2 linked regions of the Mus musculus genome follow. The protein of the gene in region 1 interacts with the protein of each later gene in a biochemical or structural test. Links are inferred from orthologs where the notes say so. Each region holds a gene or a part of one and is shown on either strand. Other genes may lie near its edges.

What was found.
Region 2: the proteins of Noxo1 (region 1) and Cyba form a complex in vitro, tested with the Homo sapiens proteins (3 studies listed by IntAct). The link is inferred for Mus musculus from reciprocal best matches to the Homo sapiens genes NOXO1 and CYBA.

What each region holds. Positions count from the first base shown.
Region 1 is NC_000083.6:24,691,921-24,701,301, forward strand, and holds Noxo1 (NADPH oxidase organizer 1), read left to right. Parts: upstream 1-4,313; 5' UTR 4,314-5,076; exon of another isoform or gene 5,077-5,204; intron 5,205-5,716; exon of another isoform or gene 5,717-5,806; intron 5,807-6,299; 5' UTR 6,300-6,422; coding exon 6,423-6,488; intron 6,489-6,596; exon of another isoform or gene 6,597-6,597; coding exon 6,598-6,678; intron 6,679-6,865; coding exon 6,866-6,941; intron 6,942-7,024; coding exon 7,025-7,202; intron 7,203-7,348; coding exon 7,349-7,530; intron 7,531-7,623; coding exon 7,624-7,737; intron 7,738-7,977; coding exon 7,978-8,095; intron 8,096-8,200; coding exon 8,201-8,435; 3' UTR 8,436-8,604; downstream 8,605-9,381. Other genes in the region: Gfer (FAD-linked sulfhydryl oxidase ALR), read right to left, coding at 2,360-2,522, 3,334-3,530, 3,911-4,147; Tbl3 (transducin beta-like protein 3), read right to left, coding at 8,753-8,865, 8,956-9,114, 9,200-9,271, 9,360-9,381. UniProt on the Homo sapiens protein: Constitutively potentiates the superoxide-generating activity of NOX1 and NOX3 and is required for the biogenesis of otoconia/otolith, which are crystalline structures of the inner ear involved in the perception of gravity.
Region 2 is NC_000074.6:122,424,126-122,432,202, forward strand, and holds the end of Cyba (cytochrome b-245 light chain), read right to left. Parts: intron 3,600-8,077; coding exon 3,530-3,599; intron 3,179-3,529; coding exon 3,104-3,178; intron 2,895-3,103; coding exon 2,811-2,894; intron 2,143-2,810; coding exon 2,061-2,142; intron 963-2,060; coding exon 753-962; 3' UTR 646-752; downstream 1-645. UniProt on the Homo sapiens protein: Subunit of NADPH oxidase complexes that is required for the NADPH oxidase activity that generates, in various cell types, superoxide from molecular oxygen utilizing NADPH as an electron donor.

The sequences.
Region 1 (9,381 bases):
GGCTGGCCTCGAACTCAGAAATCTGCCTGCCTCTGCCTCCCCAGTGCTGGGATTAAAGGCGTGTGCCACCACGCCCGGCTGTTTGTTTTTTTGACAGGATCTATGTAACCCTGGCTAGCCTGGAACTTAGTATGTAGACTAAGCTGGCCTCACACTTGAGATATCTGCTTCTGCTTCCTAAGTGCTCAGGGTAAAGTTAAAGGCATGTGTGTTATCATACCTAGCTCTTTGGGGTTGGGGAGATTTAATGTGTTTTGAAAAAGGCAGTGGTGGCACAAGCCTTTAATCCCAGCACTCAGGAGGAAGAGGCAGGAAGATGTCTGTGAAGTCCCAGGCCAAGCTGGTCTTCTACAGGTTTTGAGTTCCAAGCCCGCCAGGGCCACACAGAGAAACCCTGCGTATGTTTGGGGAGAGGACACGGCAACAAAGGTGTCTGGAGTGTTTTGCCTGGATATATTTCTGAATGGGCTTTGTACGTGGTAGCCACAGAGACCAGAAGAGGGTAATGGGTCCCCCGGGACTGGAGTTACTGATCGAGTCACTACATGGGTGATGGAACAGCAAGCAGCCAGTGCTCTTAAGTGAAGTATAAATAGGAGGCTAGTGTGTGTATGCGACTTCAGGGAAAGCCAGGAAAAGGGGAAGTGACAAGGGGAAGGAGCAAAGTTAGCCAGCAGTACAAGCAGATGATCACAGCTTTTAACAGGAAACCCTTGGTTCCATAGCATGGCTGCATTAAGCCTCATCAGAGAGTAGTCCTGGAAAAGGAAAGGGGCAGCTTCTCAGCCGGCCAGCTGCTCCTGTATCCTTTCTGCTGTTGGACCCCTCTGAGTATCCTCTGTAGAAGCCAGCACACCTAAGGGCCTCCTTAGGTGGGGAAGTCATGCCACCTGTGATCATAGGACTGGGGCACACATGCTGCTGGGATGCTGTGGTTGGGAGTCTGGCCTCAAGGATCGATCCAGCCGAGCAGATCCAGAGATGCTCAACAGCTGCAGAGTTTATACTCAGCAGTTCTCAACTTCACCGAGACACAATCCCAGCTGGCGACACTCTGACCACTCCCCATTTGTACCCCCACAGACCCCTAGTCTTCTTCAGCTTCTTCATCACCCTGGAAATTCTGACACTCCCTGAAATGTGTGTCTCAGCTGCACCATGGTGACTTCTGCCAACTCCAGACAAGAGGGCCCAACTAATCACAGACAGGCCAAACCGAGCCAGTCCACCACTGTAAGCCCAAACACAAAGCACACAGAAACCAGCCCCTAAGTCACTTCAGTTTATTTTGGCCTCAAACGCTAAGGAAGCTGTTCCCAGGACCCTCTGCTGACATGCTTGTCATAGCTGCAGAAGACCATGTGCCAGGCTGACAGTGGGCACCATGGTTGGTACACCCTAAGAGAAAAACCCTGCTGGAGCTGGGGAACCCTGCTTCAATTCTGAAATGGCAGAGTTGCCAGGATCACAGTTCTTGTAGGCAGCCAGGGCTGTGTAGTAGTAAGGCAATCATCTAGCCCATCTTCCTTTGGGGCAACTATGTCCCAAATGAAGGGTACGAGGCACCTGGACCACTCCTGCCTCTCACCTTCAGTCTCATGGGGCTTTCGCTGAGGAGGCCACCCAAGTGTCTGTAGTAGGCACCTCCATTTCTTAATCCTGTGGCAGGGTTCCCAGAGGCAGTGTTCAAAGCTTAAACTCAGGATTTGCACAAACCTTACACCCCAGCCTGAACTCAGGGCTAACCCAGAGTTTAACCCCTTCCTTGACGTCTTCTAGCGTGACTTCTGGCTTGTCGTCCGGGATGACTTCCCGCCTGACGCCATCAGTTACTCCGGTGTATGCACCTGGGTTCCCTTCAGTTGTAGCTCCAAACTTCAGTTTAGGGGTAGAGCCAAATTCATTACAGACTCTGAAGCTAATGCAGATCCGAAAGCCCCTTCTCAAGTCGTCTTTGCTGGATCAGAACTTGACAGAAGAGGAAGTCAATATGAAATTTGTTCAAGATCTCTTGAACTGGGTTGATGAGATGCAGGTGCAGCTGGACCGCACTGAATGGGGCTCAGATTTGCCAAGTGTTGAAAGCCATTTAGAAAACCATAAAAATGTTCACCGAGCCATTGAAGAATTTGAATCCAGCCTTAAGGAAGCTAAAATTAGTGAGATTCAGATGACAGCGCCTCTGAAACTCTCTTACACAGATAAGTTGCACAGATTAGAGAGTCAGTACGCTAAACTCTTGAATACATCCAGAAATCAACTACAGAAACAAGTGTTGGCTCAGATGCACTTTAATCGTCAATCAGGCTGTTGCCCATAGAACCAGGCTAGATGCCCCTCACGAACTGCTGGTAATCTTCTAGTCACAGGAGCCGTCCTTCCAGCCGTCACGCCAACGCTCATCTACTCTCGAGCAGTCAAAATCAGGCTTGCCCAGCTTCCGATTCACCTCATTGTGCAGGCGGCACAGCCACTGGCTGAAGGATACTCGAGTGCTTGTGTCTGGCTGGTTCCTGCCTATCCTTTGAGAGAAGCACAGAAGGATGTAAGGAGATCCCGGCCCCTCTGTCTCTGCCAGTGTCTGGAGACGGGAGTTGGGGCACTGCTATGACCTATCTTCCTGTAGGGGGATGGGGGGGGCCTGAATCTAGAGTTTCTAGGTAGGGCCTGGCACAAAGGACTGTTTCTCAGCACCAGGGGCACAATGCAGCTAGAGCTCCCCTCACTCCTAACTGCTTCAAATAGCAAGTGCAACCTAGGTTAGGCCACTGAGAGTGAGGGATGTTTACTTCAGTCCAGTTTTTTTTTTTTTTTTTTTGGTTTTTCGAGACAGGGTTTCTCTGTGTAGCCCTGGCTATCCTGGAACTCACTTTGTAGACCAGGCTGGCCTCGAACTCTGAAATCCGCCTGCCTCTGCCTCCCTTCAGTCCAGTTTTTAAAGCTGGTAACTAAGCTGAGAGATTGGCTTGAGCCCCATAAGGAAGAGCTATAAGGACTGGGCTTTTGAGGAAGGAGAAGGCCCCCAAACCCCAACATCCCTTTTGGTGTCCCCTCTCCTAGGAACCTGTCACTTCTGAATCTACTGTTCTAGGCCCCTCTCTATGACATCAGCTATGCCCCCCCCCCTTTTTTTGTGTTTCTTTGAGACAGGGTTTCTCTGTGTAGCCCTGGCTGTCCTGGAACTCACTCTGTAGAGCAGGCTGGCCTCGAACTCAGAAAACCACCTGCCACTGCTTGCCAAGTGCTGGGATTAACGGCGTGCGCCACCACCGCCCGGCATCAGCTAGGCCCGCTCTAGGGACCTTACTGACAAGAGGTATAGCCACAACTTACCTCTTCCTTATGTCTTCCGCACATTCCTCGCAGGGGTAAAACTTGGAAAATATATGTATGAACTGGGCCATATCCTGTTGTTGTTCTGGCGTGGGCCTGTCCGGGTAATAGGCGGCCAGCGTATGGAGGAAAGCCCAGGTGTGGCGACCCAATTCTTCCCGATCCTGTGGACAGTCCTCCCTAAACTTGATGTCCCGCTGCAGAAGTAGGCCGACTAAAGGTCAATTCACTCTTACCCAACCAGAAAGCCCATAAAATTCCAACCCAGTGGCAGACTGCTTGCGTTGTACGCCAGAGGCCTTCGGTTCGAATTCCCATTATCACTAATAATAATCATAATAATAATAATAAAGGAAACAAGAACGCTCCCTTTTTCAGTTGACAGCCTACTAACTCGATCTGACTAGCCAGTGGCTGAAAGCGCAAAAGTTTGAGCCTAACGGTGTGTGTGGGTGAGGGGTAAACATGTTTAGGCATAGCCAACCCTGAGGGTTTGGGCCGTGCGGTAGCCGAACGGGAACCTGGAAACCAGGTGTGTGGGGGACCGGGACCGGGCGGCCAAGCGGGGCATCTGCACCTTCTGCTGGGTCCGCATCCACGACTTGAAGTCCACGCAGGCCCGGCACGGTCGCTTCCCGTGCTCCAAACCTTGCGGCGCCGGGGCCGCGGCAGGGGTGGTGTCGTCTCTATGCCTTGCGCCGCGGCCCCGCGCGTCAGTCACCAGGTCGTCGGTCATCTCGGAGCGCGCGCCGCCCGGCAGGAAGGAGAAGCGACTGCCGCGAGGGAAGCCCGCCGGCTCGCTGGGCGCCGCCATCTTGCTGGCGTGCGGGCAGCGGGGCCAAGAGGGCGTGCCGGCGACAGTTCGGAGGAGCGTGCACGCCACCGCCGGCGCGCGGCGGCAGGAGCGGGAACCGCAGCCCGGGGCTGGGCTCAGGCCGGGGCAGGAGGCGGGGCCTGGCGGCGGGGCGGGGCTGGGGGCCGAGGCGGCGGCCCGGGTCGCGGAGGCGTAGGAGGCCTCGGGGCGGGAGGAGGCGGCGCCGGAGGCCCAGGCCGAGGCGGCACTGGCGGCTGCGGCTCCGGCTCTGCGGGTACTCTTGCGCCTGGTGACCCGCCGCGAGCCCGGCGTGCGTGGTCCATGGTGGGGTTCAGGCTTCCTCCGGCAGATGTGAAGTGTGTCGTGGAAGGCGCGCTGCGGCTGTGCTGAGATCTTGGACTGAGATGAGTTCCGAGATGCTTCTCGCATCACCCCCATCGCTTGGCTCAGACACCTAAGGGCGGCAAAATTTGGGGTCTTCCTGCCTTACGACGTGCCCACCTACACGCTTCTCGGTGCCTTAGCAACGCGCGACGGGGCGTGGCCTCACAGAGACCAGACAGTACTTATTGCCAGAGGCTACCTGTGCCCTAGTAACTGTCCCCCACTGCGCAACCTTGAGAGAGGGCGTGTCCTCATCCTCTAGCTTGGATAAAAGATTATTATGCCTATTTTAATAGCAGCCTCAGGAATTTCTTCCTTTTTTTTTTTCTTTTGGAGACAGGGTCTCATGTAACTTGGACTAACTTTGAACTCTGTATGTAGCTGAGTGAAGATGATGTTGAATTCTTGAATCTTTTTGCCACCACACCACCTCTTCAAGTGTTTGACTTAAACGCCTGTGCCATCACAGGAAGAATTCCTTCCGCTGCCTCCATGTGTTCATTTACTCTTTCTGCAAATATTTGTAGAGTGGCTGCTCTCTCCAGGTGCTGTTTCCTCCACTGAGCAGAACAAGGAACAAGCCTCCCTCTTTAGCCTTTAACCAGTGATGCAAATGCGGAAAACCCAGTACACCAGAATCATATTTACAAAACTGATGAAAGCTGTGCAGGGGGTGAGGAGACCCTTAGGCACAGGCCTTTGGGATAAGAAATCAGCTCAAATGCTTGACATTTTACAGAAACACCAGTGACGCTGGGGGCAGGGTCTAGGGAAGGTAGAGGAGATAGAGGCAGAATCCAGAGTCCGGCAAGGCCTACTTATGACCATGGTAGCAACTGGCATTTTTTTCCCTAAAAACAGAGATGTTGGGCAATTTGGGACAGTGGATTTTGTGTGTGTGTGTGTGTGTGTATTTCAAGACAGGGTTTCTTAGTGTAACCAGTCTTGACTGTCCTGGACTCTCTTTGTAGACCAGGCTGGCCTTGATCTCAGAAATCTACCTGCCTCTGCCACCCAAATGCTGGGATTAAAGGCATGTGCTACCCCACTGAGAACAGATTTTTTTAAAGAGACAGGGAGGAACCCAGAGTTGGGGGCTCCTCTGTGTGCATCTGAGAGAGGCAGTGGCTAGATAGAGTGAAGAGCATCTAAGGTTGGGAGGGGTAGACAGGGGCTGTCAACTGAGTGGTAAGAGGGGCTCACAATTCCTCACTTTTCCAGCTTCTGTCTTCTGACTTCCAACATTTCTGAAAAAAAGCCAGAAAGTTATTAAAGGTAATGCCAAGACTTAGCTAAGTAAGGAGATTGGCTTTATGACCTAGCTACTCGGGAGCCTAAGACAGTAATATTCCCAACTTTGGCAAAACCCTATCTCAAAGCAAAACAAGACAAAAACAACCAACCAAAACCAAACCAAACCAAAGCAACCAAAAAAGGACCCAGTAGTTGACTCAAGGTTGTCTGTGTCTGTAACATACTGTACTGTAGCCCAGGGTGGATTCAAAGAGCAAGCTGTTAGGCACACCCTGGAGGAGGTCACAGCAGGATGAAGAGGCAGAGGGGGCAGGTGAAGTTGAGGCGGCAGGTGCTTTGGTGGTGGAACTCCCTACAGTTTTTCTTCCCCTGACTAAGGAAGGAGAGGAGCCCCAGGTGGTTCTGTTTGAGAACAGTCTTGTACAAAGGGCCTTTTCTTCCATCTGCCCAGGCTTGCCCCTCCCCCTGGCAGTCTTCCTGTGATGAATCCTCTCTCGTTTTTTTGTGCTTCAAGAACCAGGAAACTGAACTCTTTCCTGGATTGTGAGTGCTTCGAAGGGACTCTACTTAGGGCAGTGTTGGGGAATTCCACTTCACTTCTTCCGGATGCTCGGAGCTCCTTCAAGCATCCATAGTCATGGCAAGCCCAAGACACCCAGTATCAGCCCATGCTGTAGCCTTGGTGCAAATGGACCGACTCCAGGTAGACCACACTGCCCCGTCCCTCACCCCTGCACCGATTGTCTCCAAAGATGCAAAAGGAAAACTGGCAAAGACTGAAGGAGATGTCGCCTCTACCTTTCCTCACACAGACATTTGCCTTCTCCGTGTGCTGGTCAGACAACAGTGACACATTTGTGCGGAGGAGCTGGGATGAGTTCAGGCAGCTCCAGGTAAGTTAACACTGGGACTATACTCCAGTGGGTATTGGCTCCAGTCCAGAGTCCTCTGGATACTCCATCTGTGGATGACCTCAGTCCAAGGACCTCCCCTTCTGCCTGTAGGAGCTCTTCTAGGGACCCTTCCCTCCCTAGGGGGTTCTCTCCATCTCAAAGACTAACACCTGCTCCTCCCCACCAGAAGACCCTTAAGAAAACCTTCCCAGTGGAGGCAGGCCTGCTACGGAGATCTGAACAAGTTCTTCCCAAGCTTCCTGGTCAGGCCTGTAAGGGTCATGGGATGGTAAGGGCAGTGTGCGTGAGTGGGGCCCCACAGTGTGTGCTTGTGATACCCGGGCAGATGCTCCATTGCTGACACGTCGGGGGCATACTGGTCGAGGACTGGTACGTTTGCGGCTGCTGGACACCTATGTACAGGCATTGCTGGCAACCTCAGAACACATATTGAGGAGTTCAGCACTTCACGGCTTCTTTGTACCCAAACCTCTGGATCTGGAGCCCATGCTGCCTCCTGGCAGGTGACTAACCTTCACCCTGCTCCCAGCCAATGCACTTGTTGGAGGGTCAGATGAGAAGGCTGGGCTGATATATATATATATATGAAAAGGGGTAGTCCCAGCCTCCTTCCTACTTATTTCTTACATGTGTGGGCTGCACTGCCCAGCCTGGTGATCCTGCCTACACCAGAGGAGCCCTTATCCCAACCCAGAGGCAGCCTTGACATTCATAGCCTGGAGGCTCAGAGCATTCCCTGTGTACAGCCTTTCCACACTCTTGACATAAGAGACAGACCTTTCCACACCAAGGCTCAAGAAATTCTGGACATATTACTACGACATCCTTCAGGTAAAACCTCACTATTAAGAACCTGGGGTTTTCCCTCTGTTCAAAATGGATGCAGACCTAGGTATCTGAGCCCTTTCCTGGCCTCTTAAACAGGCTGGTGGCTGGTGGAGAACAAGGATCAGCAGGTAGCCTGGTTTCCAGCTCCCTACCTGGAGGAGGTAGCAACGTGCCAAGGCCAGGAGTCAGGCCTGGCTTTGCAAGGAAGTGGTATGAGCCCATCCCTACTATAAACTCAGCACTATGAGTGGACCTAGACCTTTGGCAAGGCCAATACCACACCCAGGAGGGAGGTAGTAGTGGGGCACTAGGCATGTGGGTGCTGCTTAGAGCCAGGAGCAAGCCCAAGTGGGTTTCAGAGCAGTGCAGGGTGCCCAGAGGCCAGGCCAGGAACGGTGAGGGTGGACTCTGACCTTCAGCTCCACAGTGGTCCCCACATCCCTATCTTAGGGAGGCAGTTCTGCACTACTCAGGCCTACGAGGGCAGTCGCTCTGATGAGCTATCCGTGCCCTCAGGGGCACGTGTCCATGTGCTGGAGACCTCAGACCGAGGCTGGTGGCTGTGCAGGTACAGTGAAGTGTGTGTGTCTCTGTGTGGTGGAGCAGTGGCAGGCTCTGCCTGGCCGGACGGGAACATAGGTAACTCCTTAACCAAGCCCTGCTTTTCCTGCAGGTATAATGGCCGGACAGGCCTACTCCCTGCAATGTCGCTGCAACCTGAAGGGCTGGGCTCGCTCCTGGGCAGGCCAGGGTTCCCAGACAGTGCTGGGGCAGACAAGGTGGCTGAGGACAGGACCATTCCCCCTGTAGTACCAACTCGTCCCTGTATGAGTGCCATCCAGAGTCGATGCTGCTCCATTACCCGCAGGGCACTGGGACAGGAACAAGGGACTCGGGTTCCCCGTTGAGGATTGTATTGCTGCTCTGCAGAGAGGTTGTACTGTCAAAGCCAACCTCAGGCAAAGCAGGGATCTAGACCTCACCAAGAAAGCAGGATTAAGAGTGGGGCTCTATGGCTGGCAGGGCCACGGGCCAGCTAACTTTCTATTTCCTCTAAATAAAACTGGAATGACTTCACCCAAATCACTGTGCACTGAGGGAATGGGGCGGGGTGGGCTTGAATTCCTAGAGATGACGCCTCGGTCAGCCAAGTGTGGCCAAGGACTTTGGGAGAGACTGATCAGATTCACATGAGAAACCAAGTTAGAAAGTTAACTTTTCTGTTTCATAGGGCTGGGGGAGCTGCAGCAGGGCATGGGGACAGCTTCATGTTGTGCCACAGGAAGTCCAGGAAGGTGGCTGCTTGCAGTGTCCTGCTAAGCCGCTGAAAGTGCCGCTCTAGAGGAAAACAGAGGAGGCTCAGGCTGGGGTGGGGGTTGTCTGTGAACCCACTAGGAGCATCCCTGGACCCAGGACCATGTCACATACCAGTGTAGGGCAGCAAGGCCTCCAGTGACCCCCGCACCCCGTCGTAGGCCAGCAGCTCCTCAGGAGCCTCGTGCCGCAGCAGCACACCAAGCACAGCCTGGGCTTCGTGGCAATGTCTGGAGTTTGTGTTCCACGTGACACAGAAGCGCAGCAGGGCCTCTGTAGGTAACAGATGGTCACCAACCCCATTCTGCCCACCAGGCCACCCCCTCCCCAGCCTGGTTTCTTCCAGCCTGCCCACAACCTTTCTGGTCTCTTCGCAGTCGGAGTACAGTGGCTTCCAGCTTCTCACAGGCCTCAGGATCTCTCCGGATGGCTATGAGAGGAAAGTCTGAGCTTGAGGAAAGGGCTCACCAATCCCTGGAGCCTCCCCTACCCCACCTCCTCCTGGGGTAGGCGCTGACCCTGGATAACGGTCAGCACAGT
Region 2 (8,077 bases), on another chromosome or scaffold:
CTTCCCTCCTGGCCCCGTCCACCGAGTGGGTGCTCAGAGGGTAACTAAAGCCCCAAACTCCTTTCCTAAGGTTGAGTGGGTCCTGCTGTGGTAGGGCGGGACTTGAACACGTGGGCTCGGCAGAGCCATCAGGCCTGGGTCTCTACCTTTCTATGGGAGGCAGCTGAAGTCCCAGGCAGTCCCTCAAAGCCACATCGTGCCCCCCCCCCCAGTTTGTTGTTACTTTGACCGTTCAGACAACACCATCTCTGCCTGAGGCTAATCCCCACGAATGACCCCCTGCATCAAGACAGTCTCTGCCACAACAGACCTTTCCAGCATGGACCTGCCTTCTCCCCAATGGGGACCCAGGGCTGTAAAGCCAAACTGGAGACTTAAACTCCCACTCAGAGCCAGGAGCCACCAGGGTAGCACCCTGTACTCTGGCTCCACTGGGTGGAGGGGACTGGGTGCCAGTGGCTTTTGGAAGAACCAGATTTGGACTAGGCTCAGGGTCTCACTTGTAAACATGAGCCCACCCAGGGTCCACCGGGCAGTCACGAGGCCTTCCATGACTGGCCTTCGGGTCACCAAACAGGTCAGGGAGTGTGTTCCATCCATTGCTGACCACAGTCCCTCCCCCAGCCTCATATGGAGAATTTCTTGTCCGTACCAGCTATTAATCATGTTTATTACAGTGAGCAACACCACCCTGGGGGGGGGGGGACAACTCCACAGAAACTCAAGCAGGAGCTGTAGACAGCCACTGAAGGTCACACGACCTCATCTGTCACTGGCATTGGGTTAACCTGGGGTCCTCCAGCTGAGGCTGCCTCCTCTTCACCCTCACTCGGCTTCTTTCGGACCTCTGCGGGTGGCCGGGGTGGGGGGTTGGTAGGTGGTTGCTTGATGGTGCCTCCAACCTGTGGCCGCTCCTTGGGTTTAGGCTCAATGGGAGTCCACTGCTCACCTCGGATGGCTGCCTGGGGCAGAGGGGGGCTATGTTATGGTTGAAGCTGCTTACTGTCCCTAGGGACTCCAGTGGACATGGGTTGGGGCTGGAGGCACTGATTGCTGCTCTCCCAGAAGTCCTGAATTCAATACCCAGAAACCACATGGCAAACCACAACCATTTGTAATGGGATCTGATGGCCTTTTCTGGTGTGTCTGAAGACAGGAATAGTGTACTTATATACGTAAAATAAATAAACAATTCTTTTAAAAAAAAATGCTGAATAGTGGTGGCACCCGCCTTTAATCCCAGCACTCGGGAGGCAGAGGCAGGTGGATCTCTGAGTCCGAGGCCAGCCTGGTCTACAGGGTGAGTTCTAAGACAGCCAAAGCTACACAGAGAAACCCTGTCTCAAAAAGCCAGAATGAATCAATTGACAGATCGATTTCATATCCCACAATGCTCGAGAGATAGAAAGTCTGCAGCACAGCACACACCTGTGAGCACACACCTGTGAGCACACACCTGTGAGCACACACCTGTGGCTACGCCTTCTAACCAACAAACCAGAATATTTTATCCAGATGGTAAGAATGGAGCTGGCAGAAGAGGACACAGCGAGATATCTGTATGACCTTAGAACAGAGAAGGCTTGTAATGAACACAAACTAGGCCAGCTGAAGCAGCACATATCTGTCATCCCAGCATCAGGAGACAGAAGCCGGAGGACCAGGAAGATCAGGAGTTCAAAGCCATCTTCAACTACAGAGCAAGTTTGAGGCTAGTCTGGGCTACATGAGACCCTGCTCTTCTTCTCAAAATAAAAATAAGAATAAATAAAATAGATGCTTCTGTGTCATGAGCTCCTGGGAAGTCCACCTAACACCACCCAAACTCAGGCAGGCTTGGATGAGACATGGGCCCACACGGAGGCTTGGAGGTATGACCTGGACCAACCACGCTGCTTCTCCGAGCCACAGTACAGCTTCATCAGGGAAGTGCCCAGGATACAGCAGAGGAGCATTCGACACAGCCAATGGGAGCGAGAAAGCTGCTCCGAGAGCCACGGGCACCAAGATCATGAGGGTGGGTGCGGGAGGGAGGCAGACCATTGAGGGCAGCCACTTACCAGCAGATAGATCACACTGGCAATGGCCAAGCAGACGGTCCCCAGGATGGTGGCCAGGAGGAAGCCTGCAGGCACCGACAACCTTGAGGCATGACAGGAGGAAGCAAACAGATAGCAGTCAGTGGGCATCTGGTCACACAGTCGCAGAGGGAGATTCCCTCCCCGGGGCCCTGGACGGGGGATGGGCAGAGGCTAGCTCTCATCAGGTCCAGCTTGGGGTTTGTAGAAGCTCCTCTTTGTGACGATGTGTCCTTTGATTCAAGCCACAGACATCTTGCTGGGGAAAAGGCCCGAGCTGGAGCGTGGCCATATGGGTGTGTCCCCAAACTGCAGGTGTAACAAGCCCAGTACAGCACCTGTGGCTCAGGTGCTAAGCTTGGTGTGCACTGCAGGTTTGGGGCCTCTCTAAAAGCTTTTCTTTTTCTTTTTCTAAGATTTATTTGTTTGTTTTATATGAGTACAGTGTAGCTGTCTGCAGACACACCAGAAGAGAGGGTATCTGATTCTATTACAGATGGTTGTGAGCCCATGTGGTTGCTGGGAATTGAACTCAGGACCTCTTCCAGAGCAGTCAGTGCTCCTAACTGCTGAGCAATCTCTCCAGCCCCAAAGCTGAGCTTTTCTATCTGGATAAACTTCAATGAAGAAGAGGCTTGGCTGGCTGGGCGATACCTTCCTGTCCAAGCTATAGACCCATGGGGTGTCTCCTTCTAGTCTTCTGTTACCCTGGGGATGGACAGAGGGACTCACAGGAAGTGGAGGGCAGCCCGGACGTAGTAATTCCTGGTGAGGGGCCCGAAAAGCTTCACCACAGAGGTCAGGTACTTCTGTCCACTAGACAGCGGGAAGACAAAACGTCAGAGGGTCAGCACCGACCACACCTAGAAGCCCTTGTCACTCCTTATCTGTCCCCTTCCAGGGTTATGGGTCCTTTTCCTCCTGGGCACATGAGCCTGGCAGCTGGGCAGGCCTTGGGCTGGGAGCTCTGGACGAGTGGGCTGCATGGGGCAGGTCCCCAGGCCTCTCGGGTAGGAATGACTTACCATCGCTCCATGGTGGACCCCTTTTTCCTCTTTCCCCGGGGATACTCCAGCAGACAGATGAGCACACCTGCAGCGCTGCGGTGAGGTTAAGGAAAGCCATGCTAGGCCTAGGCTGCTGCCCTCTGCCTCTTCTGTTCTCAGGCCCTGGCCTAGGAGTCTACTGTGCAGCAGGGTGGGACAGAGGGGCAATGGACGCCAGTCCAAGCCTTGGGACCTTCGGCCTCAGCTCCACATTTGCCTGAACCCCGTCTGTGGCCTTTGGCAAGGGGGCATCCAGCCCTGGGCCTTGGCCTCTAAAGCTGCAGACGGAGCTGGTCCTGTCTCTGGAGGCTGTGGTCAGTCTATGTGTAGCACTCCGTGAACTGATGTGCTCATGCTGAGAGCACTCCCATCACCCCACCTTCCTGGTCCCCAGTAGAAGGATACATAGAGTAGGCGCCGAAATACCACTGTGTGAAACGTCCAGCAGTAGCCACGATGCCCCCAGTGATGAGAACTAAGGATGGAGAGAGGTGGTTAGGATGTGCCATCTGCTGCAGGTGTGAGCCAGCTTGAGCTTGCCCCGGGCTTGGGACCATCTCCAATTCTCTGCCTACTGGAGCAGAGCACTGTGCAGCAAGGGGTTCAGGGACAGAGAGGACACTCAGGGAGGTAGCCGCAGCAAGCTGAACTCCACCATAGCTGTCCAGTGCTACACCCTGGTTGGAACGTTAACTCTTTTCAGCTATGCTGTTACCTCTTGGTCCTTTTGTAAGTAGCACATTTCTGGGTTCCATCCCTGTCCCGGGGTAGGGGTTGGGAGGGTATAGCTGGGCGCTGGTGGCATTATACCTTCAATCCCAATACTCAGGAGACAGAGGCAGGCAGATGTCTGTGAGACCAAGGCCAGCCTGGTCTACAGAGGGACTTCCAGGACAGCCAGGGCTACAGAGAAACCCTGTTGGGGGGAGGAGGGACAGGGGGAGGGGAGGAGGAGGGAGAGGGGAGCTTTCCTGCAGTACTATGCTACCCTCACCCCCACTAATGTCTCAGACAGCCCGCCCAAGACTTCGTTACAGTAGAATTACACGAGCGTTATGCTTGGGTCCCCACACCCATCCCCACCCCGGAACCACACAACGGGCAACCTCCTTCATTTCAGGAAGTTCTTGTATCTATGTCTTTAGCTCACATGAAGTTGAAGTGAGGTGCTCTGTAAATAATCAGGGGCTCACTCTGGTGTTGTTGCTACCGGCTGGTCTGGAACTCCTCGCCCCATGTGTTTGTGTTGCAGGCATGGACCACCCTCCTCCTCCTCTTCTTCTGTTTTAGTTGGTTTTTCGAGACAGGGTTTCTCTGTGTAGCCCTGGCTGTCCTGGAATTCACTCTGTAGACCAGGCTGGCCTCGAATTCAGTAATCTGCCTGCCGCTGCCTCCCAAGTGCTGGGATTAAAGGCGTGCGCCACCACCGCCCAGCGTGATTGTGCCTCAAACGAACAAACAAGCAAAGGCTGGAGACATGGCTGGGTTGGTGGGGGGCTTGCCTAGCACGCACAAAGTCCTCAGTGCAACCCCCAGGGCTGCATAGGCTGGACATGGTACTTGCATGTAATCTCAGCACTTGGAAGGGGGAGGCAGGAAGACCGTGAGTCCAAGGCCAGCCTCGCTTACACAGTATGCTCCAGGAGTGGCTGGGATACATTTAAGTCCCTAGAATCCTAGTACTCAGGGGATGACTGTGGGAGGGCCAGGAATTCAGAGTCATCTTCTGCAACTTAGTGAATCTGAGACCAGCCTGAAACCCTGTCTCAAAACAAACAGGTAAGCAAATAAAAACTAGGAGACCGTGTTGTAGTTTTAGGGAGATTCGTGACACACCAAGTGTAAGAAACATCTGAAGATTTTGGTTACAAAAGAACCAGAGAGGTGTTGGAGAGATGGCTCAGAGGTTAAGAGCACTGACTGCTCTGGAAGAGGTCCTGAGTTCAATTCCCAGCAACCACATGGTGGCTCACAAACATCTGTTATGAGATCTGATTTCCTCTTCTGCTGTGTCTGAAGACAGCTATAGTGTACTCCTATATATAAAATAAGTAAATTTTAAAAAGATAGAAGAGCTGGAGCGATAGGTCAATGTTTAAGAGCTCCGGCCACTCGTCCAAAGTATTGTTTTTCAGCTAGGTGTGGCCATGTATGGAATCCCAGCACCCTTGAGGCTAAGACAGAAGGATCACAGATTTCAGGCCCACACCCTGTTTCAAACAATAAAAAAAAATTAAGTTTTACTCAATAAAGATTTTAGTAAAAAAAAAAAAATATATATATATGTTTTAGCAAGGATTTTCAAAGGTACAGTGAGGTATCATTGCTACTTTTCAAACAGAAACACGCAGAGTCAAGTTCTCTTTCCTGTCCTCACATTTGAAAATTAATTCTCCCAGATCTTTAAGGCTACTTATCGCAAGATTCCTCGCGGCTGTGGGTGGGCCCTAGGAAGCTCCGCTTTGCTTTTGCTCCCTAACTTGTTTCTCATCTGGCAGTTTCTGTCCTCTCTCTCGACCATCAGCTCATCTCTGGATTCAGTTTCCCTCTCGCTACGGCAACATCCGCTAGCCACCACTGCACAGAGGCTCGGTAGCTGAAACACAGCAGGATCTTGCCAGCGGAGATGTATTCTTTTCTCAATATCCGATTATCACTGCACCGTCTCCTGGCATCCACGATAGGTCTGGGAACTCTAGCCTGGTAGTAACCCATGACTTTTTCTCTCTTTGTCTAATTTCACTTTCGTGGATCCAAGGAGGGATTTGTTTCCATTCGTTCTGGAAAAAAAAAAGACTTCTTTTTCTCTTCAGCCTAAAGTCTCCTCATCTCTGGGCAGTGCTTGCGAAGCCTCCAAGCCCTCCCCCACACTGGGGAACTCAGCGTCTCACATGCTCGCCCTTCTTGTACAACGTGTGACACAACTTCTGTGTAGAAAGCTCCACGTCTGTGTGGTTCCTCTTGGCTTCCTTCTGTTTCCTTCTTCAAGGTGATACATTCGCAGTGTACCCACTACCATCAAGAGCTGATCGGTGTGTGTGTCTACAAAATTCCCTTTCTCAGATCCAGGTGGCCATTTATCTCCTTTGACATTCAAGAACACGGGTCCCTCTTTCCAGTGGGACCAGCCCCCCTGCCCAGTGGGTGCCGACTCCTCACAGGGTTCACTTCCTCAAACGGTGAGTGTGACCTCATGCCAATAGGGTGTTAATCCCACAGCCACCCATAGGCCTACTTGAGGTCTCTAGTTTCTGCATCTGTGGGTGGAGGCAGCCTCACCCCTACACCCTCCTCAGGCCCAGGTCTCAGGCTTTGGCTGTTTGGGATCCCTGGCAGCAACAGCTCTTGGCAGCTGGAGGGACTGATGCTCTATGACAATCTTGCTAGGGTGCTGACTCCTGCCTTCTTCAGTACGAAGACCCTGGAGCAGCCTCAGGAAAAGCTTCCATGCTGTTCTGGACATCCCCAGACTCCAGGTCCCTCTCCCACTCTTTAAATAGTATTGGTGTTTTGCTATGCTGGGCTTGAAGCTCGGCTACATATTAACCTTCCTGTTTTGCTGGTCAGCTTTAAGGGTGCACTCTGCAGGAGGGAAGGGTACTTTGTCACACATTCACTCGGCCTGCTACCCATAGTCCTTAGGGACTCATGTCCTCACTGTGAGCTTCTGCTACACTGACCACCATGAGTGGGAGGGGTCATTCTTTACCCAACAGGGAGACCCAAGGACTGATTCTCAAGCCCCTGGCTTGCTGAAGTGATACACTGTAACAGAGGGTTCAATCCCAGGGAAGCCCACTATCTGAGGTTGATGTCTCAGCAGGTGGCATCTGAGTCAAGACTGAAAAGGAGGCATCAGCTGTGACCCCAGCCAATTGTACAAAAAGCCCCCCCCCCCCGCCCCCCTCCCCGTGCACATTCAGGAAACTCAGAGACAGAGAAGGAGCAACCTAGCAAGGAAGGCAGGAAGAGCCCAGGAGACAAGCAGGGGGGTCAGGAACGGGCTTTCGTCTTGAGATGGAGCCAGGTAATGGGGCCAGAACAGATGGAATTTTCTGTGATTTAGAAAAAAACAAAATAGGGGGCTGGAGAGATGGCTCAGGGATTAGTAGCGAGGGTTGCTCTCCAAGGGACCTGAGTGGGGTTCTCAGCACCCGCATCAGGCAGTTCAGAGCCACCCGTATGTAACACCAGCTCCATGGGTTCCAATACCCTCTTCTAGCCTTTGTCTGCAAGCGCCCCCGCACTTACACACATGGCCAGACACACACACAATCTGAAAAAAATCAAATGTTAAAAAAACAAAAGGAAACAAAGTACATCCCTGTTGATTGGACCTAGACAGTTCAGAACCTTCCCAGGACAGTTGTGCTTTCCCGTAAAAAGAAAAGTTAGCGGAAGTCACACTCGGTGGAGAAAGTAAGTGGCCACAGCCTGTGACTCCTCAGCACAGGAGACTTGTGTCAGCCTGAACACCCTGAACAATTAGCTGAGGCAGTACATAGAGACCTTAGCACACACGAGGACAGGAGACACTGCATGGACAGCGCTCGCCAGGTCTTCCCACCCTTAGGTGTGTCTGGCACCCCCACTTCCTGGAGGTAACTTTTGAAACCGTCCATAGTGGTCACAGGACAAACCACTACTGGCAGGAGGCTGGGAAGGGTAAGAAGGGAGACTGCAGGTGGGGGAGGGGCGCCATTTTCAAAAGGTTGGGGTTGCAAGGCCTTCCACGGGAGCTTCCAGCGTGGGCTGGGGGAGATTTCTCTATCACCTCTTCGATGCGCTATTCCCGGGTGAGTGGAGGGGGGTCTGGGCCATCCTCCCTGCCCTGGCAGGTCTTTTCTGGCTCCCTTCGGCTTTGAGGCATGTCTGCAGTTTCTAGTCTCAGGCCTGCTGCTCATGGTCTGGTCTATTAGGTTCCTTTCCTGGTACAGTGAAGCCCAGGGGTCC